4 linked regions of the Coturnix japonica genome follow. The protein of the gene in region 1 interacts with the protein of each later gene in a pairwise test. Links are inferred from orthologs where the notes say so. Each region holds a gene or a part of one and is shown on either strand. Other genes may lie near its edges. The genes, in order: CUL5, HTT, CCNDBP1 and ELOA.

The links.
Region 2: the proteins of CUL5 (region 1) and HTT interact in binary tests that used the Homo sapiens proteins (3 or more experiments, as listed by UniProt). The link is inferred for Coturnix japonica from reciprocal best matches to the Homo sapiens genes CUL5 and HTT.
Region 3: the proteins of CUL5 (region 1) and CCNDBP1 interact in binary tests that used the Homo sapiens proteins (3 or more experiments, as listed by UniProt). The two-hybrid records come from large-scale screens. The link is inferred for Coturnix japonica from reciprocal best matches to the Homo sapiens genes CUL5 and CCNDBP1.
Region 4: the proteins of CUL5 (region 1) and ELOA come close enough for resonance energy transfer, tested with the Homo sapiens proteins (3 studies listed by BioGRID). The link is inferred for Coturnix japonica from reciprocal best matches to the Homo sapiens genes CUL5 and ELOA.

Annotation. Positions count from the first base shown.
Region 1 is NC_029516.1:161,306,551-161,313,088, forward strand, and holds the end of CUL5 (cullin-5), read right to left. Parts: intron 5,908-6,538; coding exon 5,732-5,907; intron 5,643-5,731; coding exon 5,481-5,642; intron 4,796-5,480; coding exon 4,677-4,795; intron 3,744-4,676; coding exon 3,620-3,743; intron 2,457-3,619; coding exon 2,262-2,456; 3' UTR 191-2,261; downstream 1-190. UniProt on the Homo sapiens protein: Core component of multiple cullin-5-RING E3 ubiquitin-protein ligase complexes (ECS complexes, also named CRL5 complexes), which mediate the ubiquitination and subsequent proteasomal degradation of target proteins.
Region 2 is NC_029519.1:74,626,097-74,634,080, reverse strand, and holds the start of HTT (huntingtin), read left to right. Parts: upstream 1-1,201; 5' UTR 1,202-1,401; coding exon 1,402-1,502; intron 1,503-5,920; coding exon 5,921-6,004; intron 6,005-6,422; coding exon 6,423-6,543; intron 6,544-7,984.
Region 3 is NC_029535.1:5,928,573-5,936,762, forward strand, and holds the start of CCNDBP1 (cyclin-D1-binding protein 1), read right to left. Parts: upstream 4,997-8,190; 5' UTR 4,889-4,996; coding exon 4,822-4,888; intron 4,726-4,821; coding exon 4,666-4,725; intron 4,170-4,665; coding exon 4,090-4,169; intron 3,432-4,089; coding exon 3,350-3,431; intron 2,929-3,349; coding exon 2,832-2,928; intron 1,812-2,831; coding exon 1,738-1,811; intron 1,435-1,737; coding exon 1,358-1,434; intron 907-1,357; coding exon 653-906; intron 118-652; coding exon 57-117; intron 1-56. Other genes in the region: ZNFX1 (NFX1-type zinc finger-containing protein 1), read right to left, coding at 5,702-8,134. UniProt on the Homo sapiens protein: May negatively regulate cell cycle progression. May act at least in part via inhibition of the cyclin-D1/CDK4 complex, thereby preventing phosphorylation of RB1 and blocking E2F-dependent transcription.
Region 4 is NC_029538.1:4,895,495-4,903,645, forward strand, and holds the start of ELOA (elongin-A), read left to right. Parts: upstream 1-2,744; 5' UTR 2,745-2,854; coding exon 2,855-2,947; intron 2,948-4,509; coding exon 4,510-4,566; intron 4,567-5,203; coding exon 5,204-5,322; intron 5,323-6,119; coding exon 6,120-7,335; intron 7,336-8,151. Other genes in the region: RPL11 (60S ribosomal protein L11), read left to right, coding at 291-441, 735-841, 1,228-1,359, 1,552-1,662, 2,055-2,084. UniProt on the Homo sapiens protein: SIII, also known as elongin, is a general transcription elongation factor that increases the RNA polymerase II transcription elongation past template-encoded arresting sites.

The sequences.
Region 1 (6,538 bases):
CATGGTAACTTTGAGTTTATACTATTTCAAACTTATGAGTTGAAGGAAAACAGTTTGTTAGATTTTAACAACCTGCTGCTTTCTGCACGCGCTCCAGCTTCCTGAATGATTGCATATAAGACGCTCTCAACTCCTCTCAACCTAAGTCAATGGCTTCAGAAGCTGCATTACCCAGTGCTCCTTCTGTGTGTTCCTCTGTGGTAAAGGGTTGGAATTTCTTACGGTGAGGCTGTGCTCAGACTGGTATGTTTACAGCTCTGGGTTGTCAGTTTATCCCAACTATCTCAAGTGAGCACTTACTGAAATTTACCTTTCCAATACTGAAACTCCCGTAGCACAAGGATTTTATTAGAATTTTGTTTCCTATCATTGGAATAGTTTTAGTGGCTAATTACACAGTGTACCACTTGCTTTTGATTCTGAATAGCAACACCATAGGAGACGAAAAAAAATGCATTATTTTTCAACAGCATTTACTGTTTTTAATCAGTAAAAGCATCGAGCTTAATTTGTAATGTGTAAATGCTAATTTGCCAGCTCTCAGTGTCTCTCCATCTCTTCTTATTCATGAAACCTCTGGCACTGCAAATTTCTCAGTCAAATAGAGGACCAAGTACACACCATATGCAGGCAGTCACGATGGCATTTATATTAATAAGCAGACCAAGCAGCTTGTTTAAGGGGGCAAACAGCCACTCTCGTAGTGAGTTTGCTTTCAAACCACTCTTATTTCACCCTTTACTGCAACCACGTAAAAATAAACTCCTCCTCTTAATGGAAGGTTTTCCTTTTTGACTCAAGTCAATCCTATCCTCCACCCTCTTCCAATCATTTGAGAAGACCTTGAGATATTGTATTTGAACTGGTAAAATAAAAAGAACGCACACTTGCAATTTATATACGAATATTCATACAGAACTGAGAAAGGCTCAACTTACCTTTTGTCCCAAGACAGGCACTCTGCTCCACTGATTCCTATTACAGCCCAGGACACGTTGGGACATTTCAGAGTAGCAGAGGCAAGCATTGCCAAACAACTACTTCAGATGATTGCAAACAGAAAAGGTAACATTAAGAAATTGAAATTCCTGGTGCAATGTTGGCACTCTCTCCACATATATCTTACAAGGTGTTTTTCCTAAGCTTTTCACCATTTCTGTTAGAATTGTATTTCCCATTCTGACACTTTCAAAATGAAAAGCAGAGCATTTGTTTGTCACAGATGTTGACTTTTCAAGGAACAAAACAGCCAACGTATGATTAACCTTACATCCATCCATACAGAGAGAGCTACCAGTGAGGAATTGATGCAGGGATTTTTGAGAGTTACCTCCTTTCTGAGAATCTGTGCATCAATTGCTCTTTAATGCATTCGGATATACAGCATACTTAAATATCTGGCATACAAATATTAAATGTATAAGGAAATACACTTAATATTTCTGTTCACTATAACAGACCCATCTATGGAAACTGTTTTTATAGTGGAATATCATTCAAGAAAGCTTTGCCTTCTCAAAAAGGATTGTACCAAATCGTCTGTCCAAATAAAGTAACAAATAATGTATATCCACTTCTTTACAGAAAACAATTTAAAAACAACCATCTCTTGTTTGGAGAAAAGTATCACCCATGAGTTGGAATTGTTTTTATGTCACTTATGTGTCAAATATTAAAATCCAGTTACTAGATTGAAGCACTGCTCTAGCCAACAGATTTTAATGATAACAAATATATATCAGTTTGTGAGGCATGTGTCTCTCAAATGTTATTACAAAAAGGATCAAAGGTGGACAGTACATGACTCTGCTGATCCAGAACACAAAAGTGAAAGTGCTACTTCTAGTCCTAATTGCATTAAAAAAAGAAAACAACAACAAAAACCAAAACAAAACTAGTAGCAGTTCCTCAGTGCATGAATATTTGAATATTTTTCCTTGTGCAAGTACTGGTCATCTAAAAACCCAAACCTGTATTCTTCCTGGTGGGTGTAAGTCAAATCTACTTTTAAAAGTTCACAACGGGCTCTTCATGAATGCAGGTTTCCCACAAAACAGCATGCTGTTAAAAGTGTGCAACATGAAGGGAATGCCATCATGCTAGCTGAATGAGATTGGCAAAATAGAGTCCTCTTTAAGGTAAGGCAGGGATTTTAATACGTAATGAAAGTCAAAACAGGTCCTTCTGCAGCACAAACTGTTGCAGCTGTCTGTCCAAGCACCCTTCTGTTTATGTTCTCAGCAGCTCACAGAGTCCTCGCATTATGCCATATATATGAAGGTGTTGATATCCGACTCATCTCTTCTGATATATTTGTGCTCTATAAGCCATTCAATTTGCTCTTTTATCATTTTCTTTTGTGGTAAGAACATGTTTTTCAATATTTCTACCAGTTCAGTCTGAAGTTGGGCATTAGTAATTTTCTTCCTCATTTTCATTATTTGGATGATAGCCTCCTGGTGGGGAATGAGAGAAAAAACATTCTGAAATGTCTGGTGGAAACCACAAAGCGAACACAGCTTTAACAGGGGACTCCTGGTACAGCAAGAAAATATTCTTCCTCAAAAATCAAATATAAGAATTATTTTGCCATCGTAAATACTGCACTTAAGACACACCCCAATTCAAATGAGGCAAGGCCAACATCTGCTCTTGCTTATATATTCCTGAAGTGAGGGCCAAACCTTTACCCACTTGAAAACAAGACATGCTCTGATTACAGCATTCCACCTTTGTGAATTACAGCCAGTTGCCCATGTTCATTATCATGATTAAACTTGAGAATAATACAGTACAAAGATCTCCTGTGAGTTTCTATACCCCCATGCTTACAACGAAGAACAAAGTAAATAAAAAATGCTAAAAAGAAAACAAATAACACGATAAGAACACGTTTTACTTGCAAGGTCAAACCACGGAGTTTGTTATCTTCCAGGTTGTGACCAAGAACTCAGTAGAACTCAAACCAAAGGAAACTGCGTACAAAAGGCTAATTTAGGATATGCTCACAGCATGATTGAAGTTATAAATCCATGAAGTAAATGGCTTTGAATTTGGCATTAATGAGGTATTAAGTGTAAGCCACAATTCCTAAGCCTAAGTAGATCCTGAACTGTCTTCACAAAGAAGATGATAAAGCAACAGAATGGAACACTGACAAGATGCACAAGAAATACAACCTGAGTCAGTGGTGACTCTGAATTTTATATCTAGAGAGTGAGTTAGTCACTAAAACCTGGCGTTTGTTCACCTGCCCATTCTCTGAGCAGAAGTCAGGGTGACCTGAGACATACCTTGTGAAATACAAGCTTAGTGTCAGAGTAGCACTTACAAGGTGTTCTCAGTTGGTAAGCACATGCAGGCATTAACCCTTTGGCTGAAAGAACAGCCAGGGTGTTAACTGAGGTGAAACAGTTTACAGCTTGGCTGTCCTGGAGTTAAACCTGACTGTAACTACAAACGCACACGCGCACAGAATGAGCTCTTCAGAAAGTATCAGAGCCATAGAGCAGAAGTGCAAGTGGGATTAAAAAGCATTCATTTCATTCACTGACAATCAGAGGCTGCAATAACACAAGAAAAGAAAAAGAACTGTGATGTTCCTCTGACACACACTTACCTGGGTTCGTAGTATCCTTAGCTGGACTATTCCTTCATTCTCCTCTTCCCTCATTCTCTCTGTAGTAAGTTGCAATCGACCAATCAAATTTATCTTGCCCCTTTTCTGAACTTTAGCATTTTTTCTGAAAAAGTTGCATTGTATAAAAATAAGGCTAAAATACGTTTTCAATTACAGAATTCCTATTAAATTTAAATTACTGCAGCAAGGAGAACCATTGTGTATGAGACATTTATAGACTAGAAGCATTGCAGGACTGGGATACCAGCTGACATGTCCAAATTCAATCCCAATTCCTCCATCCAAAAAGCCCACTACCAACATCCCAGTGTTAGCACAAAATTCATCAGCTGAAACTGACAGTACTCAACATTGAAAGGTTACCAGCACTATTTTAAAGAATAGACTTCTAGAGAAATATACTTCAGTTTAGTTACATAACACTAGTGTTCTTCAAAGGAGTTTCTATAACAAAGTTCAGGAAATGGGACAAGTTCATTTTTCATCACATAAACTGTCTGTATAGCATTAAAAAATAGAGGGAGAAAACCAGACATCATAGCAGGCATGGCAAAAAGCTGATGGCATTCTTCATTGGTCACCCCCAACACTTCTGTGCAGCCTGTCTCTTCTGTCATGTGTTCACATCATTTCCCAAAGCTTGTGGTCCTGATGACAGGAACAACTGAACCACCACATCCCCGGGCAAGAAACTAAGCCCCAGCAGCACCAGACTTGGCATTTTCCTATATAAAACCTCATGGGCTCATTAGTAACGGGAAGATGGCAGAGCCTCCAATTCTGCACCACATCCCTACAGGCATTTAAGAAGTTTAACTTCACAGAAATCAGAACTATGCAAACACTTGTCTGAAGGGGCCACTGGCGGTCATCTGCTTTAACCACCTATCAGAAGCACGACTAGCACTAGAAGTGAAGCAAATATAGGACAGCAAAGCCTAATGAATCTTGACAACTTCCAAGGACGAAGGTTAAAGTGAATTCCTTTAACTATAAAAAAGCACATTGTTATTTTCATTTTCAAACATCATCTTACATTAAACTGAACTCCTGGTTCACCGAGAAGAGGGTTCCTTCTGTAAAGTCTTTGGGTGAATTGACTTGAGGTTCATACAATAAAACCTGACGTTTCAGCTTTGGAAATGCTACAAGAGACTACAGAGAAAAAGGGGGGAAAAAAGAATGAAAATAAAACACCAGACTTTCTAAATGGAAACAAGTACTATTTAAGAACATAGCTCACTGATGTGCAGGCTGTAGTGAAGGAACCTTGACTGAAGGTGCTGGAGGGCAGCACAAAGTCACTAGTAAAGTCAGGGATGGGACACAGCTTAACAAATGTCCTTCTGAAATGAGTTACCACAAGTAAAATAATAAAAAGAAAAAATGCACAAGCTCACGGCTACAGAAGTAGCGTGTGGTGTTGCCTGATGTACATTATTTCTCTTTTGTGAGCTAAATTATTAAAAGACTGATAGAGGAAATGCTGCATTGTTTTTAAGCAACACACATTTATCAAGAGTTCCTAGAATTAGACCAGTCCCACTCCACAAACCTCAATCACAACTTTGTGCTTTACGCTGTATATGGTCAGAAAGATCTTGCTGTTTCCAAAAGCTTACGTTATGTAATTCCAAGCATAGAGAACACATTAATGTAAAGGCTGCGTGTGCTCAACAGTATTACAAGGGGCCAGGGTTACAATAAGGTTAATTAAGAAATAAGGTGTTCACACTTCAGTTTTGAAGTATTTTCTGACTGCACTTTAAAAATACTATTTCCGTACTTCAGAGTGCAAAAAAATTCAGGAAGAAATCTGTTTCGAAAGAAAGTGAAATACCCATAAAGTCCTCCTAAGTTCTGCATCAGGGAGTTCAGTTGCCAGTTTAAGATTTTCAAAGCTGATCTTCTCTCGGGGTCTTTGGTTCCACGCAAACAGCACAGCCAGCTGAAATGTTGTTACTTCCAAGTCATACTGACCAACCTCATTCTTAAACGTTATCTGTGAACAGAATGACAACTCTGCTTGAAAGGTTTTCTGGATAACAAGCTCTGCGCCACTGAAACTGAAGCACCAAAAAGTAGACTTACAATTCCATTGGACATGAGGTGGTGCCAGTGCAGTTTTCTACCACTGTGATTCTTTTTATAAAATTCTTCAACTTCGGGGATGAGATCTTCCAGCTCCGTGGGCAGTGACACAAACACCTTCTCAGAACTACGGGACCAGGCACCAGCATTTAAAATTTTAATATTCACAGAGTCAGCTGTAAGACAATACTGGATTATATGAAACTGCAAGTAGAGCAGACAGACAAACAGAAGGCATTCTTCTCCTGTTCTAAATACAATTACGAAGGGCTGAATTTTCAGAAACTAGCAAGGTGGCTGCCTATTAACATACTCCATTTATGGACCACAGACTTTCTACTAGCAATACTGATCAAAAGCTTTGCTTTTTTGTCTTCCCTCTGCAGTGATGCAGCTCTACAGCTGATGTTGGTAAGCACCACTCAGGGGGTTTCAGCAGCAGCAGCAGCCGGCCCAATGTTGGATGTTCTCAGTGTTTCTCATCAGGGAAATTTATCTCAGAAATGCAATTTGAATTCTTAACAGTGTGCATCACTCTCTCCTACAGGCAGGTAGAGTACAGTATAAAGCACTCATGAAGAATGATCGGGGCATAAAAGAAGGGGACAGTTAAAGCATTCATGTGGTTGGAGATGGATTCAAGCCCTACCTTGAATTTAGCTACAATTAGGGAGCCTGTATCTAGAAGAAATACCCAATAACTTTCAGAATGATATAGCTCAAATGACAACTGTTAGAAAAGTGAAGTGCAGACATTCCAATCTAGGGGTAGCAGTGCTCTGAAGACTGTTCAACCTGCAGCTGATA
Region 2 (7,984 bases), on another chromosome or scaffold:
CATGGAGATGAGGAAGTTGTGCTATATAATTTAAAGTGACTAATATTACTAGCTTGGAGATTTCACTTGGAGAAGTGTGCAAAGGGTAAGGAGATGAAAGCAAAGCACTGTGGTATGAGAAACATAATATGAATTTTGTTCATGATTTTTCATAGGATGCAGATGAGAGATGGCAGCAGGTTGTATTTACTGCTGATGTAGACTTTTATTTCGATGAAGCTATAATTAGAAATAGAGTTTCCTGTTCAGAATGCCTTCATTTCACCTCTGTGAATTCAGATCCTAGCTCTGTTACATGATTTTAATAGCAGCGAGACAATCCAGCAGCCCAACTGCTTTGTTCTGTTGGTGTGAGATACAGGAAGATCTATCAGTTCTGTGGAGCTGTTTCAATGAGATCAATCCTTCTTTGTGGCTTTTGTTTCCAAACATTTGTTTCTGTAAGTCTTAATGTCTGCTTGTGTGTACCTCATGAATCCACATACAGGTAACTTTCCTCATGCTCCACATACGTCCAAACCACCACAGTTCCTTCCATTTATAGCCATGTTGACTGTTAAATGTGTTAGCTCCAGAACCACTCGAGTTAATTGTTGTATGAGCTGTTTTCCTGGATGTTCTACCATTGTTACTCTTGAAATAAAAGCAGAACACTGCCACATCTCTCAAACACACCTATTATTGTCTTATGTGCTTTGTTTAGCAGCTCTTTCACGGTAGCCGGGGTAGGTAAAGTTGTCATGAAAACAATTAAAATTACAAGTTGTTGAAATAGAAATGATTGCTGATTCTGTTGTCTCAGCAGCTATAGGTACATTAAAGCAGAGGTTGTACTTCAATCCATTATTTTTAGTTAAAAAAAGATCTTAATACTTGAATTCCGCTGTCTCTGAGAGAAGCAGCCTTTAAATAGGTATGTTTTATATGTGCTTTAAGAGGGCAAAAGCAGGTCCAGCATCACGAGGCTGATGCTGAGCGGCCAGCGGGTCCCCTGCCAAGCACTAAGTGCTGGTTCCTGTAAGTGTTTCCCCTTTTTCCTCACAGCCCAAAATAACGCCTTAGTGCCGGTAGCGCTTGGCATCAGCTCAGCGCGATAAGGGCTGTGAGGGGATGGATGGATGGAGGCTGAGGCGCCCTTAGTGCCGCCAGCGGGCGCCCAACCCGTGCTGGGCGGAGCAACCCAGGCAGGAGCGCGGGGGCTGCTGGGCCAACCCCAAGATGGCGGCGGGGCAGCGGGGCGGAGATCGCGGCCCCGAACGGCGGCTCCCCGGCTCGGCTCGGCTGTGAGGCGCCAGGCGGCCTGTGAGGAGGGTGTGAGGGGGAGAGGAGGGACAGGCGGAGAGTCGGGAGCGGGAGGAAGGACGAGGGCGCTCGCCTGTGAGAGGGCGGGCCGGAGCGGCGATGGCCACCATGGAGAAGCTGATGAAGGCCTTCGAGTCGCTGCGATCCTTCCAGCAGCAGCAGGTGCCGGCCGTCATCCCCGAGGAGCCGACGCTGAGACCGTGAGTGAGCGGAGCGGGACGTGGGGTTGTGGCAGCGGGCGGACGAGTCCGGAGGTGCCGCCTGTGTTTGTGGCTGTTGAGGTGGCTGCAGGTCTCTGGGTGAAGGTTTGTAAACGCTGCAGCCTTGTGAACTTAAGCCTTGTTTGACTCAACATGAGCCAGCAGTGCGCTCTGGCAGCCAGGAAAGCAAATGGGATCCTGGGCTCCATGAGGAGAGGGGTGGTCAGCAGGGATAGGGAGGTGATTGTCCCTCTCTACTCGGCTCTTGTGAGGCCCCATCTGTTGTACTGTGTCCAGGTGTGGAGCCCTCAGTACAAAAAAGACATGGAGATTTTGGAAAGGGTCCAGAGGAGGGACAGGAAGATGATCAGGGGGCTGGAGCACCTCCCCTATGAGGACAGGCTGAGGGAGTTGGGTTTGTTCAGCCTGGAGAAGGTTGCGGGGTGACCTCATTGCAGCCTTTCAATACCTGAAGGGAACTTACTCCCAGGAGGGGAGTAAACTCTTCGAAAAGGCTGATAATAGCAGGACACGGGGAAATGGTTTGAAGTTAAAAGAAGGAAGATTTAGGTTGGATGTTAGGGGGAAGTTCTTCACTAGGAGAGTGGTTAGGCCCTGGAACAGGCTGCCCAGGGAGGTTGTGGATGCCCCGTCCTTGGAGGTGTTCAAGGCCAGGTTGGACGGGGCCCTGGGCAACCTGATGTAGTAAAGGTGTATGTTTGGTGGCCCTGCCAGGCAGGGGGGTTGGAACTACATGATCCTTGAGGTCCCTTCCAACCCGGGTCATTCTGTGATTCTGTGAAAAGATCTTAAGTTTAGCTTAAAATCTAGGATTTGTCTGTCTTTAAGGAATGGATGTAGATAACTGCTTATGGCAGGCTTTGCTTGAAGTCTTGCGTTGTCACGTGTTTTGAGCTCCAAGAGGAAATAACACAAATGTTTCTGCTATCTCTTTGTGTCCTTAGATATTAGGGTTGGAGGCACTGAAAAGATGTTTGTTCCTATCTGCGCAATGCTCTGGTTTCAAGTCAGGGAACCTGCAGCTTTGCTGGAGGCCAAGGAGCTGTTCAGTGCCCCAGTGCTGCCTGTCGGCTTTGCTTTCTCTAAAAATAACTTTTATTGAGCAGGTGAAAAGGCACTAAGGACTTTAGTGCACTCGGTAAGTGAGTCACACTGTTGCTGTTTCTCCAGACACGAGGGAGACAGGAGGAACACAAGGGCTGAGGAGCAGGTAGCTTCAAAATTGACAGTTTCAGGTGCTTTTGGCAGAGCTGATCCACAATGGAAGCTGGGCTCTTGGCCACCTGCTCCCACAGTACGGTTTGAGACAGATGCCAGCTGGATTTGCCACGGTTCATACTGCTTGGACACTCTCACCTCAAACACTTTCATTGTGTCATTGATACTCTTGGGGACACAACAGATGAAAAACCTTATTTTCTTCATAAGCCAATTGTTTTCATATACCTCAGTGTTTACAGGGACTAATTGCTCTTTTATTTTTTGATTGTACTATGATTTTGCATGGCATGGAGAATAGGTGGACGTCTATTTCCAGTCTTTACTGTGCATAGCAGAAGAAAATCTAAGCAGATATTGCTAGGATAGATCATCTTATTTGAAAAGAAAGGCTTGAAAATAATTTGTGATGCTTGCAGGGGGATGTTATGGTTGATTTGGGGGTTTGCATTTAGTCATACCAGAATCAAAGCGCTAAAAAATCAAGCTTGTAATTGTCCTAGTTGACTTTGTTTTTTCCTGTTTAAAAATAGACTGGTTGTTTTCAGAAAGCTGATAGTATTGCATGCCCCCAGGAGCTTTACCAATTCAGAAAGGGCACTGAGCTCCATAAAAGCCTATGAAACGATATTGTGCCAATCTTCGTTGGAGTTTCCTGAATTGTTAGTGAAATACCAGGTGACATCTTGAGCTGAACTCCTGGTGTTGGTTGTGTTTTCCATCCGATGGGTTAGAAAAGAGAAATGCCTTCTTGTGTTCTTTGCACATAGGGACCAGCGTTCATCTTAATTGTGATCCTGCACAGATAACCCTTAAATATTTAGCAGTGCTGTATGCTAACAAACTACTCTCTCCTGATGTGTAATATTTTAAGATCACGGAGGCTGGAGCTTAGAGATGGGAATTGTTTGCACAAATGTCATCGTGACAATGAATTTTGAGATCTTGATAAAATAATATCCTGGTTTTACATTTATTATTAAGGTATTGATTGAATTCAAACATTGGTAATGTGAGGGTTCTTTTCTCTCCTTTCCTCAAGGTTTTAATCAGCAGTAATCACTTATTGTGGTTTTAGTGTGTGTTACAGGCATGTCAGGTTATGGCCTCCTCTCTTTCTGTGGTTGGTTTGGCCTTCTATGAATGCTCAGATTGAGCTCTCTGTCATCATTTTGCTTCTACAAGCTTCTGCTGAGGCACCTTCTTGTCTTCCATCTCTGTTTTTTTGCTTTTTTGGACTCCTGAATTTTGGTTGGAGTTGGGTATGTTGGGTTCAACTCAACAGAGTTGAAAGTTCGGTCAATGTGATGTAAAAATTGACTTTGTTCAATGAAACAAATGAACGGATGGACTGTCATACAGCATCCTGTATCTTATTCATCTCACCTCTTGTCACAGAGCTGACCAGAATGGTGTGATAATCGCAGGTTACTTCTGCTACACATAACTACATGTAGCTAGTTCTACACATAACTAGTTTTGATTTGACCATTCTAAAGGCTGTCCTCTTGTTATTGTTTTTCCCACCTTTGGAACTGTTAACTCGTTCCGATAGTTAATTATTATAGTCATTTTAAATTGTGACCTATTTCCAGTTTGAATCATTCATTTATATTTACGTGCGGTTCTTACCCTTACGTTTGAAGCCAAGGAACTTTCCAGTAATGGGCATTTTCATGAGCACATGATACACATTAAAAGTTTTCTTTTGTCCTTCAGAAGCTGCTTTTTAGGAAGGCAAATAACAAACGGCAAATGAAGGATCCAGTGCAGCAAAGGCAGTTTGATGCTTTTCCTTCCTTCCCTTTGGATAGTGACTCAATTTCTTTTAGTTTAAATGGAATGTGCATAGTTCAGAAGTTACCATTTCAGTTTTCACTTCAATTTTTCTCTTTTCAGGCCATTTTTTAAATGATTTTTTTCAACTACCCATTTCAGAAGCGATGGACTCATGTTAGGGGAGCTCTTTGCTTACGGAAATCTGCCAGGGATCGATGTGTGCTCATCTGTTATTATTGAACATTGCTCCCTGCTTTGCCCAGGGCTATATTAGCTGAAGACGAGATCCTCTCTGAGGAATACTGAAGCTTACATTTGACAATATTTTCTTTAGATCTAATGGAAAAAATGCTGTTGTTTTGGTTTGGTTTTTTCCTCATTAGTGTTCTTTATATTTTTTGCAAGGGAGAAATAAGCAGATGATTGGGAGAAAAACTGAAAGGTTGGGATGAAATAAACCCCCATTTCCAATATGACAGAATATTATTCCAATAAAAAAATATGCTAATGTTTGAGCTGAAGATATTTCAGTTTAATTCTACAAAGCTTTGTGTCTTAACAGTGTATTTTCAGTTACTGTAATGTGTTCATTGGCTGGTCACTGTTGGCCCTTACAGCTGTGTTGACTGTGATACTGTAGTTCAGGGCTCCTGTGATCATTTTCAACTTCTACTTTAGAAATGCTTGTTTGCTCTTTGATGGTTTTGCTGTTTTTTCTTGAGACAGAAAACTCAGTGTTCAAAATACAGATTACTTATGTTCACCTGGAAAGCAAAAGCGAAGTCCAGCTCTGTGTATCTGTGCATTCACTCATCTGCGAGTCAATGAGCAGGTGCTTTTTGCAAGTACACACAGAGGTACCTTGGGCTGTGTTTTTCAGCTCCTGGGTTTCGACTAGTGAATTATTTATAAGTAATTTCCCCTTTCCTAGGGGTGGTTCTCTGACACTTAAGTTAAAAGTAGGAGACTTTGCATATAGTGAAATGAAATTTCGCAGTCGTAGTTGTGAGTCTGTCTCATTCTAGTGTTTTATTTTGTGGTTTTGTTTCCCCTAGTTCATATATTAAAATGATTGAGGATGGAGTAGGGAAGAAGCTTCTGTTATTTATGAGCTGATAGCATGTGAGAGTGGTGAGAGACTTTATACATTGGGCTTTGCACCTTTTGTAGGTATGCTTTGATTCTGTGACTTCTGTTGCTTATTCTGTGCTTGCTGCTAGTTAGCTTGGCCTTAGTGTTACTGCAAGGACACGATTGTAGACAGGTATGGACCATGCCTAGAGTTTTGCTATTTGGACAATTTCAAAATCATCTGGGGGATTGTGATGTATGGCAGGATTGCATTGATATAGTTACTGCTCACTTTTAGTCTTAGATTTATTTTAATTGTTTCGTTTTAGAAAGAAGGAACTTCTAACTACCAAGAAAGATCGAGTGAATCATTGCCTGACAATATGTGAAAACATTGTTGCTCAGTCTTTAAGGTAAGACAAAGTCTGGCTTTAATATGAATAGCAACTTCTGGTTACTAGACACATGTAGGCTGATTTTAAGTGCTCAGTTTCTGTTTAAACTGAAATGGTACAATGCTTTTTATTGCTTCTTGTTGTTTGTGTTTTTTTAACTAAGCCAAAATGTACTATTTTTCTTTACACATTGGTAGAGTGGATACTATCCTATTTCAGACAGAAAAGCCAAGGCAAAGAAGTCAAATACTGTGCCTGGTTATGTAGGGAAGGAGCAGGGAAATGATCTCCTGTCTTCTTACTAAACATCTGCTGGATCATTTCTCCCCTTGTAAAACTGTGTATATGCAGTAGAGTTCTGAAACCCCTTTATGTCTGGCATTGATGTTTGCTTTTTGCAGTGCACATTGTGATTTTCTAATACTCGTTTATTTAGAAATTCTCCAGAATTTCAGAAGCTGCTGGGGATTGCTATGGAAGTTTTTCTCCTCTGCAGCGAGGATGCAGAATCTGATGTCCGGATGGTTGCTGATGAATGCCTTAATAAAGTTATTAAAGTAAGAACTTTTAGGTATTGTGTTAACATATTCGTCTTCTTCTTGATGCCATGTTACATGTGAAATCACACTTACATTCTTTTAATTACTTACTCTTGATAATCTCTTGTAATGCAAGAGTAGGCTTTAGGAAATTCTATATGTCTTCTAAGGAGAGATTTTTATGCATGGAGTTACATAAATTTTATATCAGATGAAGGCATTTGAACATGTCTCTGTGCTAATTCATTGCTCAGATATTTTTTGTTCAGTGATTCATTAACTCTGTTCTCTTTAAGTCAGTTAAAGATCATTTTGGGATGGGAGGAATACTCCTTTGTTTTGTAAGCATGAAGTTACGTAGTATGTAAGAAAGCTAAAAATATTACTGGAAAGCTGACTGTAAGATGTTATGACGCTTTCCAGACTAATGGCATACTGTAATTCTGGTAGTGCTTTACTGAGACTTGGCAGAGGAGCTTTTAAGCATAATTAGGATGAAAGCAGTGTTCTGGAGTCTGTTTATTACCACGCTGCAAGCCAGAAACAAGGACTCGGTGCAGACAGCAGATGGATATTGATAGAAGGTCGGTCAAGGTCAAATTATGGATTCAACATACAAAATGAACCTTATGTGGAACTGATGTGAGCTGCTGCTTCCAGAACAGATTTACCTTCACCTGTCCTTTCTTTATTTTTTCTTCCTGTGTAATGTGCCTGCATCATTAATCTAGTTGATACGAAACGAAGTGCTTTATGAATTTGAAAGTAAGAGTTTTCTTAGTTAGTTAGCAGTTATGGCCTCCACATTAGCACTTGCCATGTAAGATTTTATAGTTATGAGTAATGCTCTGAAAATGTGAATTTAATGGTTGATGGTCAAAATGATGGATAGGAGACTAAAAGTCATTGAATAATAGGACTAGGAATAAAGAATCAAAAAGTCCAGAAAACATGCTAATGCATAAAAGAGGGGTTCTCAAGGGCTATTAAAGGTTGTGGTACAAATGCAGCCTCAGTTTGGGATACACCTACCTTACTGTTTGAAGGTGGGGGTGTATAGCAGGGAAGAACTCCCACTGCTTGCAAGCACTATTCTTGTATTTCAATAGTCTGTTCATGAATATCTATTACTGGCTGTTGCCAGAAGGCATGGTCAGTTGGCTGTACCTGTGGTCTGATGCCATATGGCCTCTTTTGGGCAGATTGAGGTCAAGTAGCTAATACCAACTAATTTAAATACCTATATTATAGTTTAACTTGTGGGATTGTCTATGTTTCTGTTTGTTCTTTGTGTAAAAGGTGAACGAATGTCTCTTGTAAAACCAGAATGTGTTAAATACAGGATAACGGAGAGAGAATGGCTGATTTGTGTTTTTAAAGCTGTTTTATTACAAGTGCAATTTTATTCCTTTAAAGTGCCTCCGCTCTGATACAATGTATTGACAATGTATTTTATTGC
Region 3 (8,190 bases), on another chromosome or scaffold:
CCTCCCTTTCTCTACAGCCAAGTGAGTAGACCTGCATGCAGGTTGCAAAAACTTACATTGAGTCGCACGGCCAGATGGTTCATAGGTGGGTACATGCTCAATGCCAGCTCATCAACGCTAGAATAGAAGAGAGGGGTGCAATGGAAGAAGGCCCCAGCTGCACAGTTCACAGACCCCTGCCAAATCTTACATCCACCCTCAATGCAAGTCATGTATGGTATGGCACGACAAGGAGACAGTGTTGGTTATACCCATGGGATACTTTACATACATTACCTTCTCAGGCATCTGTGTGCAACTCCCACCTTACTTCTAGTCATCGCCACAACTCCACTCTAAGCAGCAGCAGCACGTTCCTTTGCTAACATGCAAAACTCAACAGCCTATGATATAACAGTCTTTCTATTTGTTTCCACCACTTGGCCACACCTTAAGTATCAGTAAGATTTTACCATTTCATTTTCCAGGCCTCAAGTAAAACAGGAACTGTTCTGGAGAACAATGAAGCATTTCAGCTGCCAGATTCTCTTAATTCCAGTAAGAAAAGCTAATCAATGACTCTGATTCAATAGAGCAATCTGCAAGAACCTGGAAGATAGTCCCATTCTTACATCAGCCTAAAACCATACACACAGTTCAGGACATGGCTTACCTTGGACTGATCTCATTGGCAATGTCTGCAAGGTCATCCAGCTGAGCAATCTGATCTGGAGAGTCAGCTTTTCCATAAGTCTTCACTGCATTCAAGACCTTCTTCAGGCAAGCTTTAGAAGCCTTCATTAATCCCATGCAGGAGCCAAGTAGCTTCCGGTCAGCTTCTGACCAATAGGTATCTCTGTTACCCCGAAAGCCAAGCTCCTCATCTTCTATGATATCACTGTAGGGGTCTCGTTCTTCCACTATAGCCTGAGAACACAGATGTATAGAAAACCTATAGCCTAACATCTACTGTAGCAATATCGAGGAGGATAAGTAAAACATGGTCTAAAAATCACACAAATCATTTATGGAGGAACCTCTCTTCAACCAGCAACTCTGCTGCCAGGCTCTGTTCACTCCAGTAAGACTGGATTAAGAAAAACTGATCACTGACTCCTGTTCAAAACAGCAAACTGTGAGAACCTGGCAAACAGTCCCATTCTTACATAAACCTAAAACGACAAACATGGCAGAGCTTCCATGAAGCTCTCTGTAAGGTAAACCAGACCCAGGTTTAAAAACCTTAGTAAGACAGGCATAAGATAATAATATTGGTCATACTAGAACCAACCTAAATCAAAGCCTGCATATTTAACAATGCTTGTGTTCTTTCAGAGAAATCACTGCAGGTTCCCCAGTGACTTAGGGGTTTCCTTACATTTTCCATCTCTTCCACAGCATCCTTGACCACACCTAGAAATGCAGACAGAGATGACACAACTGCTGCCTGGTTATCTGCAAAAGGAAAAGTGAAGAGAACTGTAGAACTGCAGTGATTCAAATCAGCTTGCACCAACATTCATCTGTGTTTGCAACCATTAGATCTTGAGATCATAGGATCCTATTTTTTTGCAAAGCTCAGAACCATACTGTACTGCTCTACAAATTATCAGAGCAGGCTTCCATACTTCAGAGAATACTAAAGTTCAGAAGAATGAGTAAGCCTACAGTGTACTACCTAAAATGCCCCTCTCAAGAGTTAACAGTATTTCAAGATCACACATTCTAGTTCCATTGGTCTGCATACATAGTACTCACCTCGTGGCAGGCTGGACACTTGCTCACATGCCTCCCACACACCACCAGTTGATATAAGCTGCTCCTGAGATGAGCTGAAACAAAACAGAGGCCCTCAAAGTTAGGGTAACACCACACCACTCTGCTAGGCAGTTTTATTTTTGTGCAAACTATAAGAGGCTCAGCTGAAAAAATACTGGCAAACTATCTTGTCACCAGTATTTCACAACTGTGCAAAGCACAGGATGCTTTAATAAATCCTACTGAGTTTAGTAACTAGTTGGAACAAGATGCAGGAGTTTCTTACAAAAACCTTTAAAGGTGCTTAAATATTATTTAACTTTGAGTATTTACCCAAATCAGAAGAGACAGCTGATCTTTGCTTAGAGGCAATGGAATTAATCAGTAAATACAGAGACTGCATATTTCCCTGGAAGGACTGTTGTCCGCTAACTAGCCACAGAGAGTCACACAATCACCGTCACCATTCACTCCACAAGCAAGAATTGCCAAACAGTATAAACAGTATCAAGCACTGTCATGGAAATCCTACTTCCAGCATATTTCCTTGCCACAGACAGGATGAAAAATCTATTCTCTACCAAAGCAAATGCAGTTGAAGAATGCTACAAGTGAGACCCAGCCCTTCCTTACCATAGGACAGACTTTTCCACTGAGAGTCTCTCACTAGGTTCTGCTTGTGCTACATCACAGCTGTGTTGCAGCCATATCTCTACCTGGTCTTGATTCTCTCCTTGATTCTGATCTGAATGCAGACCACTGATTTCTTGGCTTGACCTCAGACCCAATTAATTGCAATGGTCTTGGCTGGACAATCATTGGATGGTGTGTGATGCCAATTACTCTCTCCAAAGCCAATTGTTACTTTGTTGGCCTAGCTTTCCAGTTTGACATTGTTGCTATGGGCTTGACAAATGTCAACACCAGCACCGTTCTGTTCAATCAGAATCCCTTGCCAATGAGTCTGCTGCCTTTGCTTGCCTAATAACAATGCTCGGTTCCTGCCTTCCCACTTCCCTTATGAGTGCAGTCTACACTTGCTGCTCCTTAGTGAGTGTACTTGGAACTTTTTCTTCTTGCTGGAAAAGTACTACCTTCCCAATGGAGAAATGAGAATTGTTTCTGTGAGCTGGATCATTCCTTCCAATACTTCAGTGGTAGCATCTCGTACCATCTTCCGAAGTGTAGTACCTGGTTGAGAAACAGCAAGTATGTTGCCAAAAGGAAGAAACTGATATAGATGAATACACAGACAGGCACACAGTATAAAGTCACACACACAGACACACAGTATAAAGTCACAGAAGCAATTTATATTGCCTAAATTCTAAAGTTCTAACAAGACTTTAAACAGAGATTTCAGCTCTTTACAAACATGAATGCTTGGTAAACTATACCACTTCCTATATTATCATTTGTTCACAGATGGAAATCTCCAAGAGCAAATTGTCAAGTTCACTCATAATCACATTGCAAGTCTATAGAACAGCTGACAAGACTTTGTTCATATTAACTTGTTTTCCCATACAGACCAAATTTAACATGCTGTGAAATATCGGGTTTCTTCACATAGTGATGAAGGAACTGACTCTGTCCTCCATCACTCTCTCACCTTGGCCCTTGGGGAGCCAGTAGTACACTGTGGCAACTGCAAGAATAGCATTTTGGACATCTTCACTCAGCTTCCGACAATTCTGAAAATAGGTAGGCAGAAGGATTAACTAGGAATATCACAGGGCTACACTACATTTAGAAAGCCTCAAAAGAAATCGTTTAAATCTATGTTACTTTGTAAGAAAAAGGAATAGCATCACAATAATGGAGAAACAAACACAGCACAAGAAGAGGCAGTATGTTTCTGTGATGCCAACAAGCACAGAAGAGAATAATTTGCTAGAGCTGCATGCACACTGCATGTGTCAAGAGTTGATATACGGTGTATGACCACCACACCTTGGTTCAAGGGATGTAAAGAAAGGAAAAAATAGTTTAATTATTCTCAAATTAAGGCGCATACAGCGTTAATATTCTCTTAATTAACAGAAGACATAACATCATTCATTGTTAAGAGAAAAGATCTACACTGCCCAGTATCTCACCTCTATCAGCAATCAGTCGTAGAAGCTTAACAAAAAAGATCTAAGAAGACATCTCCTAACCTACATAAATTAGTTTCCAAGGCAATTCTTGAATTTGATTAATATTCATTTAAAATAAATAAAAATACAGCTCATATAAAGTCCCTTTTTTATGCTCAACTTGATAACTTTGCATTAGTCAAGTGAACTGAGAGATACCTCAAACTTGTCACACAGACAGTAATTTCCTGCTCTGTGGGAGATTTTTACTAACCTCTGCAGAAGGCAGTGGAGGTCTCGAGAACGCCAGACTAAGCTTTGTAGCTTCCTGGGATGTTGCCTTGAATGCCTGACCTAGAGAGGATATAGCAGGAAAAAGGAAATTAGAAACTCTGTCAGGTAAAACTAGAACAGAGTAAGTCGACTAGCAGTGTCTTCCCTGACACTACTATTTCTTCCTTCTCAGCATGAAAAAGCTATATATGCCAAATTAGACTGCAAAAGAAAGTTTCCATGGTGCCTTTGATGCACAAACACGCATCAGGTATGTGTTCACTGCCAGCTTTTTACTTAGCTGGAACTGCTACCCATAATCACATTCATCTCCTGCTCCAAGGCAGGAAGTAGAAAGATCCATAAGGCTTTGAAAACGTTGTAAAAACCGCTTCATAGTGCTATGTAACAGCAGCAGAACTAGAGCTGAGGGGGAGTGCCAGAGATATCCCCTGCAGCTCACAGCCCCGCTATGGACCCAGCCTGCCCTGGGACCCGCCCAGCCCTGCTGTGGGCCGGTCCAACCTCCGCCCCACCCGGCGGTCCCCTCGGTGCCAACCCGCTCCCCAGCCCGTACCTAGCGCATCCCAGAAGCGCGGAGGCTCGAACGGCTCGCGGCCTTCACCCGGTTCTCCCTCTGTAAATGCAGACAAAAGGCCTCAGTCTGCGGAAAGCCCGGACCAGAACTCCGGCCTAACGTCCGCCTCCGTCCCCACCCGGCCCCGGCTCCCACCTCTAACCCGTGCCAGCACGGCGCGCATTGAGCCGCACAGCTCCTGCAGCAGCTCCCGGGTCTCCATGCTGCGGGAGCACCCCGCGCTCCGGCTCGGCTGGACGGCAGCTGCGGCCCGGCTCAACAACTAACAGCACGGCAGCCCGTCGGCTGCTGTACGCCACATCCCCTTCCGGAGGACGGCAGAAAACAGGCGGCTCCGCCCCGTTAGATAAACCCTCCCAGTCCCGCCCGCTACCCCGGCAAGGAAGGGCGGTGTTGGGTACAATGTATATGCGTTTTATTGATTATATCCATACTGTGTCCAGGTGTGGAGACCTCAGTACAAAAAAAGACATGGAGATTTTGGAAAGGGTCCAGAGGAGGGACAGGAAGATGATCAGGGGGCTGGAGCACCTCCCCTATGAGGACAGGCTGAGGGAGTTGGGTTTGTTCAGCCTGGAGAAGGTTGCGGGGTGACCTCATTGCAGCCTTTCAGTACCTGAAGGGAACTTACTGCCAGGAGGGGAGTCAACTCTTGGAAAGGGCTGACAATAGCAGGACACGGGGAAATGGTTTGAAGTTAAAAGAGGGAAGATTTAGGTTGGATGTTAGGGGAAAGTTCTTTACTAGTGGTTAGGCCCTGGAACAGGCTGCACAGGGAGGTTGTGGATGCCCCGTCCTTGGAGGTGTTCAAGGCCAGGTTGGACGGGGCCATGGGCAACCTGATCTAGTAAAGGTGTATCTTTGGTGGTCCTGCCAGGCAGGGGGGTTGGAACTACATGATCCTTGAGGTCCCTTCCAACCCGGGTCATTCTGTGGTTCTGTGATTACAGAGGCAGCAGTGAACAGCCAAGGAATGAGCGCTGCACCCTCAGGCAGAGAGGCAGGGTTGGAGCAGCTACAGCAGGCGCTGGAGATCCTGGAAGTTGAGCAGGTTGTTGGCTGTTTCGGACCAGGCCGCGTGGGTCGCTCCGTCCATCTCCGAAGCGAGGCTGTTCGTGCTGTCCAGAGTGTGGTTCATACCCCCGATGACCTCGTGGCATTCAGGGCACGTGCTCCTCTCCATCGCCCCCCCACAGTCCCCTATCACATAGACATGCCCATTTTTGCATTTGAACCAGTGGCCACGCGGGTGGCCCATAGCGCTGACAATCTGCACTCTCTCAGCCTCAGTGATCCCCAATCCCGACAGGGGCAGGGCAGCCTTGAGAAGCTTCAGCTCAGCTTTCACTGCAGCCTCTTCCTTCTCTGTAAACCTTTTTGTCCCTTCCAAGATCTCACGGACCTTGGCAATCTTTGCTGCAACGGTCACAGTGATCTTCCCACTTACGGCTTTACACCTTGACAACAGGTCCTGTAGGTAGGTCAATCTCTGGATCTCAGCCTGCAGATCCATGAGCTCCTGCTGTGTAAAACCGAGGCGTGGCTTATCCAGCCACTCCTGGATTTCGTCTAGACGCTTTTTCAGCCCTTTTTGCTCTTTTGAATCAATTTTGCCCAGAGAACTGGTTAGGTCAGCTATACGTTCATAGAAGTTAATCAGATTCTCAATTAATGCAGTGCTCCTTATGGAAAGATCAGAGGAATTCAGCTTATCCTCCAACACGAGGTACTTAGCGAGTAGGCTCTTCCTCAGAACACTCTTACTTGCGAGCGCAGCCTCTAGTCTTTGTCTGCTTGACACAATTTTCCATGCTGGGCCTTGGATTTTCTCTTTCACCTTCTCTATCTCAGCCAGATGCTTTTTCACCATAGTGCCATATCTCAAACTCTTTCTGACCGGTGTCTGACAGGTAGGGCACACCTTCAGCTTGATGGCTTCATCATCTTCATCCATATAACGATCAAGGCCCTGAGACTCAAAGACATGGCCACAATCTTCAAGCTGTACAAATCGTGCATCCTCATCATCCTCAAAGCCAAAAAAGATCTGGGTAACCTCCTCACGGTCACAAACAAGGCACTTTTTTGGGCAGGGCTCTCCACAGAATCCAATACAAGGATGACCACAGCGCAGCAGCTTGGTACATGGTACATTGCATCGAGGCCTATTGCATGGTTCATGGCAAAGTTTGGTGCACTGATAGTGCTGGCATCGCCACTCACATGGCTCTGCGCATGGAGAACAGCGCTCTCCACATTTCTTTTTACATCTGCTGTGGACACAGCGGTTCTGACAGTCAAGCTGACAGGGAGGGCATTCTGAAGTACAAGGCTGCTGACACTTGTGGGAGCAAATTAAGAAGCGCTTGCATGGGCTCTTACATTGCTCATGAAATCTTCCTCCAAAGCAGGAATGACAGGAACCTGAGCATCCATGGCCACACTCCAGTTTGACAGTGCACTTAGCCATACATTCAATAGGTTTATGATATTTCATCTCATCAGTCATCCAACATCGAACTTTCTGGCTGTGGCCACATTGCAGAGAGACTGTAACCAGTTCAGGACACCGAGTACTACATTCCTGCCCACAGCTTTTGTTGCATGTATGCCCACAGCTTAATTTTTTCTGGCAAGGTTCTTGGCAAATAAACTTACTTTCTGGACAAGAGCATGGCATCATCTGCAGGTGGCCACATTTAGAAACCATTTTCTCTACTATTACCATGCATGGTCCACATGGCTCATAACATAACTGTGGACAGCGATGCCCCTCTGTACAAAGCACCTTTTGACAAGGCTTCAGACACTGATACTTTTTGTGCTGTAAATCGTATGGGTGGCATGCTCTTGTGCAAACATGTCCGCAGTCCAACCTAAATTCACAGGGATGACTACAGCCTCCTTCTGGGACTTTGCTGAAGTCTGCTGCTGTGGATACCAGAGTCATGGTCTCAGGGTGATTTTGACAGCAAAGCGTCAGTGAGCGGCCGATGTTACCTTTCTCCCTCAGTGTGTGAATGATCTTGCTCCAGAGAGGCACCTTGCTCAGCATTCTCATATTTCCAATACAATACAGCCCTTTCTTAGCTCTGGATAGGGCTACACATATCCGATTAGGGATCTGCAAGAACCCAATTCTCTCCTCTTTGTTACTCCGCACGAGTGACAGCAGAATAATATCATTCTCCTCTCCCTGGTACTTATCCACTACGTAAACCTTCACACCTGCAAAAGTCTTGGCTGGCATGAGCTTGCGCAAACAGAAAAGCTGTCCAGTGTAAGTAGTGAGAATGGTGATCTGAGAAGGTTGATAATCCTGACACAAGAAGTATTTGCAAAGTTCCACCACAAACTGTGCCTCATGTATGTTTTGATGGCTTTTCCCTTCCTGGATGTCCTGCTCAGGAAAGTCATGCTCCACAAAGAAAAGGTTAGATAAGACCCCCTGAAAAAAAAAAAAAAGAGAAAGAGAATCTTAGAAACAGAATTCTACTTGTCACT
Region 4 (8,151 bases), on another chromosome or scaffold:
CGCCATCCGCCCTATGGCGGGGCTCGGCCGGGCCGCGGCCTGTACGGGGGGGGCGGGGGAGGTCGGTGGGCGGCGGTAGGGCTGGTACGGGCTGGTACGGGCGGCGGGCTGCCCCGAGCTGCCCCGAGGCTGCGGCTGCCGGGCCGGGCCGCGAGCTGCGCCGTGCCGGGATGGGGCTGCGGCACCGGGCGCTCCCGGGCTGATCCCGGTACGGGCCGCGCTGTCCGCACGCTGCAGCCGCCGGTCACGCGGTGCGGGCTGCGCTCATCCCATCCGGTGTTTCTTCGCAGCAAGACCAGGGTGAGAAGGAGAATCCCATGCGAGAGCTGCGCATCCGCAAGCTGTGCCTCAACATCTGCGTCGGGGAGAGCGGGGACAGGCTGACCCGGGCGGCCAAAGTCCTGGAGCAGCTGACGGGACAGACCCCCGTGTTCTCCAAAGGTGACGGGGCTGCGCCTTGTGCCCAGTGTCGCCGTGTTGGGGCTGCGGGGGGGCGGTGCTGGGCACAGTGCGAGGTCACGGTCTGTGCTGTGTGTGTCTGTGGGCGCTCAGTGCTCCGTGACGGCAGCTTTAAAATCTCCAGTCCTGTATCTCTGCCCTTGTCCCCGCAGAGGGAATGTGAGATTCTTGGCTCTTTTTATTTCCTTTGAAGTATCTTGTTTGGTCTCGATCAAGCTCTGAGTCCCCTGGAAGTTGTTTGCATGGCGTCCTGAGTGTCACTGTTCTGCCTGCAGCTCGGTACACGGTGAGGTCCTTTGGAATCAGGAGAAATGAGAAGATTGCAGTTCATTGCACGGTTCGTGGGGCCAAAGCAGAAGAGATCTTGGAGAAGGGGTTGAAGGTGAGAATGGGGCCCGGCTGGATCCTGTGTGGAGAAATGAAAAAACAACTTGAACTGTCGGCAGCTGGAAGAATGATGGAAAGCTTTGAAATGTTGCATCTGATTTAGTTACAGTCACAGATGTGGAGGCTGGGTTGGTATCCCTGGTACACGGGCTGAGATTGCACCATTTCTTTACTTGGTGTGTGTGTGTGTTTAAGACTCACTGGTTCAGCTGCTGCATCTTTTGAGTTTTTCTGTGTTATTGTGATTCCCAAGCAGGCCGTGGGATTGGAATCTGATTACTAAATGCTTACCAACATGTGGGTCTGGCAGCAGTTAGTAGAATGTGCAGAACTCCTGTTTGTGGTTGGTGATGGAATGACGACTGACAATGTGTGTTTCAGGTGCGAGAATACGAGCTGAGGAAAAACAACTTCTCAGACACTGGGAACTTTGGCTTTGGAATCCAGGAGCACATCGATTTAGGGATCAAGTACGATCCCAGCATTGGCATCTATGGCTTGGACTTCTATGTGGTGAGTATTCCCTGTCAGTGCACCTGCCTGCTCAGTTAACTAGATTCCAATTGCTGCTATAGTGCTTTAAGTCCTGACCATAGCTCACAGAATAAGATGTTGTTGACCTGGAAGTTGTAGATTGTCCCTTGTTAAGGAAAGGTTTCTTTAAGTAAAGGCTGGAATGAGGTAGTGCTATTGGTCTCCTGCCAGGTGCTGGGCAGGCCTGGGTTCAGCATTGCTGACAAGAAGCGCAGGACTGGCAACATTGGAGCCAAGCACAGGATTGGGAAGGAAGAAGCCATGCGCTGGTTTCAGCAGAAGGTACGGTCCAACTTTATTTAGTTTTTATCCTGCAAGGTTCCTGGCGGGTATCAGCAAAATACTGCACTGCTTTATCGTCCTTATGGGAGGAATGGAACGAGTCACTGGGCCAGACAGTGGGGCTGTGAAAGGGATGAGTGTGTTCGGGTTAGATTGACATCTGAAGGGGCCGCCTTGTGTTGCTTGACCGGTTTGTGGCCTTAGTGCTGACCCAGAGCCCCCTGCCTTGGAAATAAGCATAAGGTGGCAATGCAATTCGCTGCTCGGCTCAGAGAAGTGTTTAATGTCATTGTCTTGGAATGAACGTGGTCATGTTTTTCCCCCAGCAGCCCTGTACCTCTCCCCATTTACCTGTCTGCTTTCTCACTGTGTTCTCTCTGGTTTTCTCGCAGTATGACGGCATCATCCTTCCTGGCAAATAAGCGGCTCCTGTTACCAAAAAGCAAATAAATGTTTTTTAACCCCAGTTTCTGTCGTGTATTTTATGGGGGCTCCTCCTGACCTGGGCAGCTGCTGGAGCAGAACGACGGGCACCACCATGGGTTAATATGGGTTAATATGGGTTAATATGGGTTAATATGGGTTAATATGGGTTAATATGGGTTAATATGGGTTAATATGGGTTAATATGTGTTAATGTGTCTGGGCTGATGGAGGGAGCTGGAGCCTTATTGACCATCAGCCCCTTTGGCTGCTGGTTCCCAGCCCGTGTTTGAGCTGCCTTCGGCTGATGGGGATTAAAGCCCAGCGCTGAGAACCCCGCGGTGTTTGGTGGGTCTGTGCCCCCCACACACACACCCCATGAGCCCTGTTCGACCCCCCGCAGGCTGTGCCCGCTCTGTGCAGCCCATAACGGTAATTCTCAGCTCAGCTCTGTGTTCCAGTTCAGCCCCATCCCTTGTCCCGTTCTCGTTCCCCCGCTCCTCCCGCCCGTTTCCGCCCTCGGGACGCTCCGCGCCGCCCGAGCTCCGAACTGCCAGCACTCAAGATGGCGCACCCAGCGCCACGCCAGGCCCCAAGATGGCACCCATTGAACTCTGCCCTTACCTGCCATGGCCGCCGCCGACGGGGGGAGCATCGCGCAGCTTCCGCTTCCTGCCCGCAGCAGAGATGGCGGCGACGGCCGGGAAGCGCCGTGTGGCGAGCGAGAGGTGAAGCCGCTTCCGCCGCCGCGGCCCGTCCAGCACTAAACATGGCGGAGTCGGTGCTGGAAGTTGTGGGCCGGCTGCAGGCTCGGCTCGCGGGCAGCGCGGATCCCAAGAAGGTGCCGGCGGTGACACGGCGGGTGCGGGAGGGACGGGGCCGGCGCGGCCGCGAGGGGCGGGAGTGGCGGGGTCGGGGCCTGATCCGGAGCTCGGGGGTCCCGGCTCCGCTCGGGCCGCGCTGTCAGGGCCGGTCGGGGCCGGTCGGGGCCGTCCGGGTCTGTCCGGGCCGGTCGGGCCGCTCCGCTCGGGGCTGTCCCCGCCGCTCGGTTCGGGCCGGGCCTTTGGTCGGTGCTGGCCGTGCTCGAGCTCTCGGCCCGTCCCGTTGCTGCCGTGCCCGCTGACAGCCGCCGTGCTCGGGGCCCGGAGCCACTTGTCGGGAGCTGCGTGCGGTGCAGCCGGGGCTTGTTGTGCTCCCGGCACGTGCTGCTGCGCCCGGCACCGGGACGTGGCGCCTCGCGGGGCAGCGGCTGTTCGGAGCCGATGGGGCCGCGTTTCATTCAGTGCGGACGCGGCAGCAGCTCCGTGCGGAGCCGGGTTGATCCTGGACACGCACCCACGGAGCGGCTGAACCCCGTGGGTCGGGCGCAGGGAGCTCTGCCGCTTGGCTGGCTCCGTTTGGGCGCCCAGTGCCTGTCTGTCTCCTTCCTCCACCCTCAACCTCACACAGCACCGGAGCGGAGCTGCCAGGGCCCCGTGTGCTCAGCTGGAGCTGGGGAGGCCGAGCTCTTGGCATCCAGCGTGAGCACTGAGAAGTGCCGTGATGCTGGAACTGAGACGTGTAACTCTTCCAGAACAAGGAGGAAAACCTAATTCTTCACTCATAGTGATGAAGTCCTACGTGTGAGCAATGGGGCAGTGGTTTGTGGTGAATTTGTGGTGAATAGGATCCATCCTGTTGTTCTGTTTAAGCGAGATGGGCTCTTTTCTCTGTTGCTTCTTCAAACGCGTACAAATAATTCATTTCCTTCAAAAAGAGTGGAGCTGCCTAAACCTCCTGGGTCCTTGTGTGGTGTCAGTAGAGTGACAGGAGCTGCTTAGGCTAACAGTACTGATTTCAGCATGAGTACAATGGTTTAAGTAAAAGATGTTCCGGATTGAGGCAGCCCTTTATACGGCGTATGGCACAGCAGTGCTGAACAAAGCCGGGTTGTAGAGGTGCCACAATAATGGGAATGCTGACAAGTCTGCTCTGGCTGTAGCTGCAGGAGATAATACAAGAGGTGGTGCTGGTAGGTCTGTGCTGTTGCTAAAAAGCCTCTGTACAGCTCAGTGAGTTGCCCAAGCACCAGTACTGCTCCATTTATGCCCACACAGCCCAGCCCTTCAGCTTCATGTGCCACGGGGCTGTGTAAAGGCTTTGCTACCGACACTGTAAGCCAAAGTTAAATTGTAGTTCTCTGTAAAGGAAGAATTTGTATTTGAGTAAGTTCAAGATTTTTCAGGTGACCCTCATAGGCCAAGTGGCAATAACTTCTTTGCAGCTGGCCCTCAAGTCTGGCTTCTTAGGGACTCGATGTGGAGCAAGATAACAGCTGTCTGCCACCTGGATCTTTCTAACAAGCTTTGTGCAGAGCTTTCCTTTCTAATCATAGTACATGTTTCAGTCTGACAAGTCTTAACGTTTTCCTCCTTGTCTCTGCAGCTGCTGAAGAGTCTGAAGAAGCTGTCTGAGCTGCCCATCACAGTTGACATTCTTGTGGTAAGAGCTGCGAAATCTCTTGTGCTCTCATCCTGTCTGTCAAGTTACAGAATCTGACTGCTAGAAAAATGCTGCTCTCTGGAGCAGGATATGCTGCCTAAGCTGCCTGCTCCAATGTGATGTCATAGACATGGCTGAGATGGATGAGATTCTAGGATTCTCAGTTAGAGAGAGCACCTCAGCCCTTCTTCTGCTTCAGCGTGAAGCAGTGCAGGGCAGGTGGTGGTGCTCAGCTCCTCCAAAGCTTATTGTTTGGTCGGGATTTGTGAGTCGGAGCAGTTCCTAATGGTGACGGAAGCTGCATTGCATTAGGAACTGTGAATCTTTGGAACTATTAGTGACCGGCTTCTGTCTTCAAACAGTTATGGTAAATAATAACTTAGTCTATTAAACCAATTGAGTAGCCTTCAACTTAAAGCAGAGTTATATCTTCACTAATTTACAGAACTGCAGTAAGCTATACAATGTCTGCTGCAAACACAATGTGCTACGTGTGATATCTTTGTTGTTAGATTAAGGAAGCTCACTTTGACCTAGACATGATAGGTAGCAGGCTGACTGCAGGAAGCTCAGTGGAGGAGGTGTGAATGCTGACTGCTTTGCTGAGGTTAGTTTTTATCTTTTCTCTCTCCTGAAGGAGACAGGCGTTGGAAAGACAGTGAACAGCTTACGGAAGCACGAGCTGGTGGGAGACTTCGCCAAGAACCTTGTGGCCAGGTGGAAGAAGCTGGTGCCGGTCTCCCAGGAGGCAGACAGGTGAGTAAACCTGCTCAGTTATCTCAATGGAAAAGTTGTTCTCTTTTAATTTTTGCAGTGTAGATTGCAAACTACTCTGGTCGTGGAAACAAATGAAGGCTCTGGAAAAACCTGTAATACAGTGTGCTGTGTGGGGCTTCTGCTTTATTTTGGAACAGACCTCCTCCCTGTGCTCACCGCAGTGCTGTGTTGCTGACGGCTGCAGTTCAGAGTGAAGGCAGGGACCAACCTCCAAGAAGCTGCAGTTTGATGAAGAGATTAGCAGTAGCTGCCAAGAAAGGGCTTCTAATAAAGCAAAAGATGTAATCTGTTCACTTCCCACTTATGATGCCAAAGAGAGGAAGTTTTAGGCGCAAGTAAAGGAAGTGGCTTGCTTTGAAAGAAGACTTCTGTGTGTAGAGATGCCACAGAAACCAAAGCTAATGCTAGCACTGTGTAGCAGTAACATAGTAGTGTGGTGTCCCTGCATGTTTTAATGGGTGAACTGGGAGCTCCTGTTTCCTTACACACTGTGCAGCCAGAAGCATGTGACATGGAGACATCTCTGTACACCTCTGCCTCCGCTTGCTCAGTGAACTGTGAAGTTGTTAGTCCTTATAAAAGATGCTTAATTCCTGTGTCAGAAATGTGGTTCCTAAATCCCTGAATGTTGCTGAGCTAGTGAGAATTGGTGGTATTATTGCCACAAAACTTCTAAATGCAATTTTAGTCCTCTGTAAGAGATTCCCATCCTTATTGCTCTGCTCATTCATACTGGGAAATTTCAGTCTAAGTAATTTGTTTTCTCATCCTTTTAGAAATAATGTAGATTCTGAAGACTGTGACTATGAGAGGAGCAGCTCAAGGAAAAGACAAGCACCTTCTCCCCAGGAGGATGAGGAACACGACCAGGACTACTCAGAGCCTTTCCAGCCTTCCTGCAGCCAGCTCTACAGCCCAGATCATAGGGAAAAGAAGTCCAGAAGGTATTTAGGGCCTGAAAAATCTCATGAGGCTTATGGCTGTAGCAGCCAAGAGGATAAGAGATGGGACAGATCTTCCCCAGTGCTCTCTTCAGATCAGGAGTACTCAGACTATGGACAAGCTGTGTCACCTGAGCCAAGTGAGAGCCCTCAGGATACGTACACAGACCCTTATGCCTCTGATGAGCAGGAAGAACCAACAGTGTTTCATCAGAAAGTCAGTAAAGGCCATGGCTTTCAGGAGAAGCTGGGGGAAAGCTGGGAGAGGAGCCCTGGTGATCTCCATGACAAAGGGAATGCCAGTCGAAGCAAAGAGCACAAGTCTTCTCACAAGGAGAAGCAGCGACTTGATGGCCGAGGGGAGAACAAAGCCTCTGCCATCAGCCCAGAAAAATTGCACAAGACCTCATTTAAAGAGCATCTCCAAGAAAGCCCCGTGGTAGGGGGCAGCAAGGAAAAGCAGAGGATGTCAGATAGCACTAAGAAGGAGAAAACCCGAGAAAATAGCTCTTCCAGAAAAGAGAAGCTGCACACACAGCCACACTTGGAAGAGTCTATGGACAACCACACTAAGAAGCGAAAACATCAAAACTCTGAAAAAAGCAAACCAGGGAAGTCCAAGCCAAGCGTGGAGACTTCTAACACAGAGCGGGAGAAACAGAAAGCTGAGAGTGACTCCTCAAATAGAATTAAAGACAAGGGGACTTCTGGGAGCTTTAAAACGTCTGAAGGGAAGCACAAAGCCTCTGAGTTGGACAAAAAATCTGCTGACTTGTCCTCAAGTTTTGGGGATGGGGAAGTGGAGGATGAGTTTGAACAACCTACTATGTCCTTTGAGTCATACCTCAGCTATGACCAGCCCCAGAAAAAGAAAAAGAAAGTGGCCAAACCCTCTGTGTCAGCTGGGGAGAAAGATCAAGGGCACAGCAAACAGAATGGATCCAAAGCCAGTACCAAGAGCTCCAGCTCGAGTCGCAAGAGCCCAAGTCACAAGCGGACAAATGAGAAAAAAGCAGAGAAGAAACAAGCAGAGACTCCTAAACCAAACAGGGTAAGGTTCTGGAGGATCTGAAAGTGAGCAGAAAAGGTGGAATCAGCTGCCCTTAGTCCTCAGCTATCCGGTGTTTACTGGTTTTCCCCTTTTATGTGCTGGGCCGTCCCCCATCAGGCTGTGCTTGAGGTGTCTCATCAGGGCGGTTGGTGGCCCCAGGCTCCTGCTGGGACATGCTGTGTCTCACCCACCTGCTGCAGAGCAGCCCCACAGGCGTCTCTGTGTGCTGCTGGGGTGGGACTCTGCTGGAGCTGTGAGTGGAGCTAACTTTTTTTTCTTTGTCAGTACTGCAGTTTTATTAACTGGATGAGTTGGGCCCCAGGAGTGGGGAGAAATGGGAGAACTCTAGAAGCCTGAACTTCCTTTGTGAAAGCTTGAAAAAAAAAAAAAAGTAATGTTTCTGTATATATTCATTGCCTCACAGATGCCGGTTGCCTAAGTATGGAGTAGTGTGTAAAAACCTGTGCTACTTTCTTTTTACTTGACTTTGAAACACGTTTCTCCTCAATGAGTGCTCTTATAATCCTAACAGCAGTTTACAGCCCAGCCTCACCATTCATTCTAATAAGTGTTTCATATAGAAGTTCAAGATTTTCCTCCAGTTTGATGTTCTCTTCCATCACAGCTGAATCTTTTGCAGGTGTGTGGAAAAATGAAAGGAGGCATCACAGATTAGGGAGTGTTTGAGGTCAAGGAAATGTTTCTGTCTCTTCTGTGCTGTTTTTTTCTTCCGTTCTTCGTGTTGTTAAACTGATCTGGGTTCTACCAGAGCTCTTTAGTGCTGAACTTAATGACAGATGTCTTTTATTAGAAGGT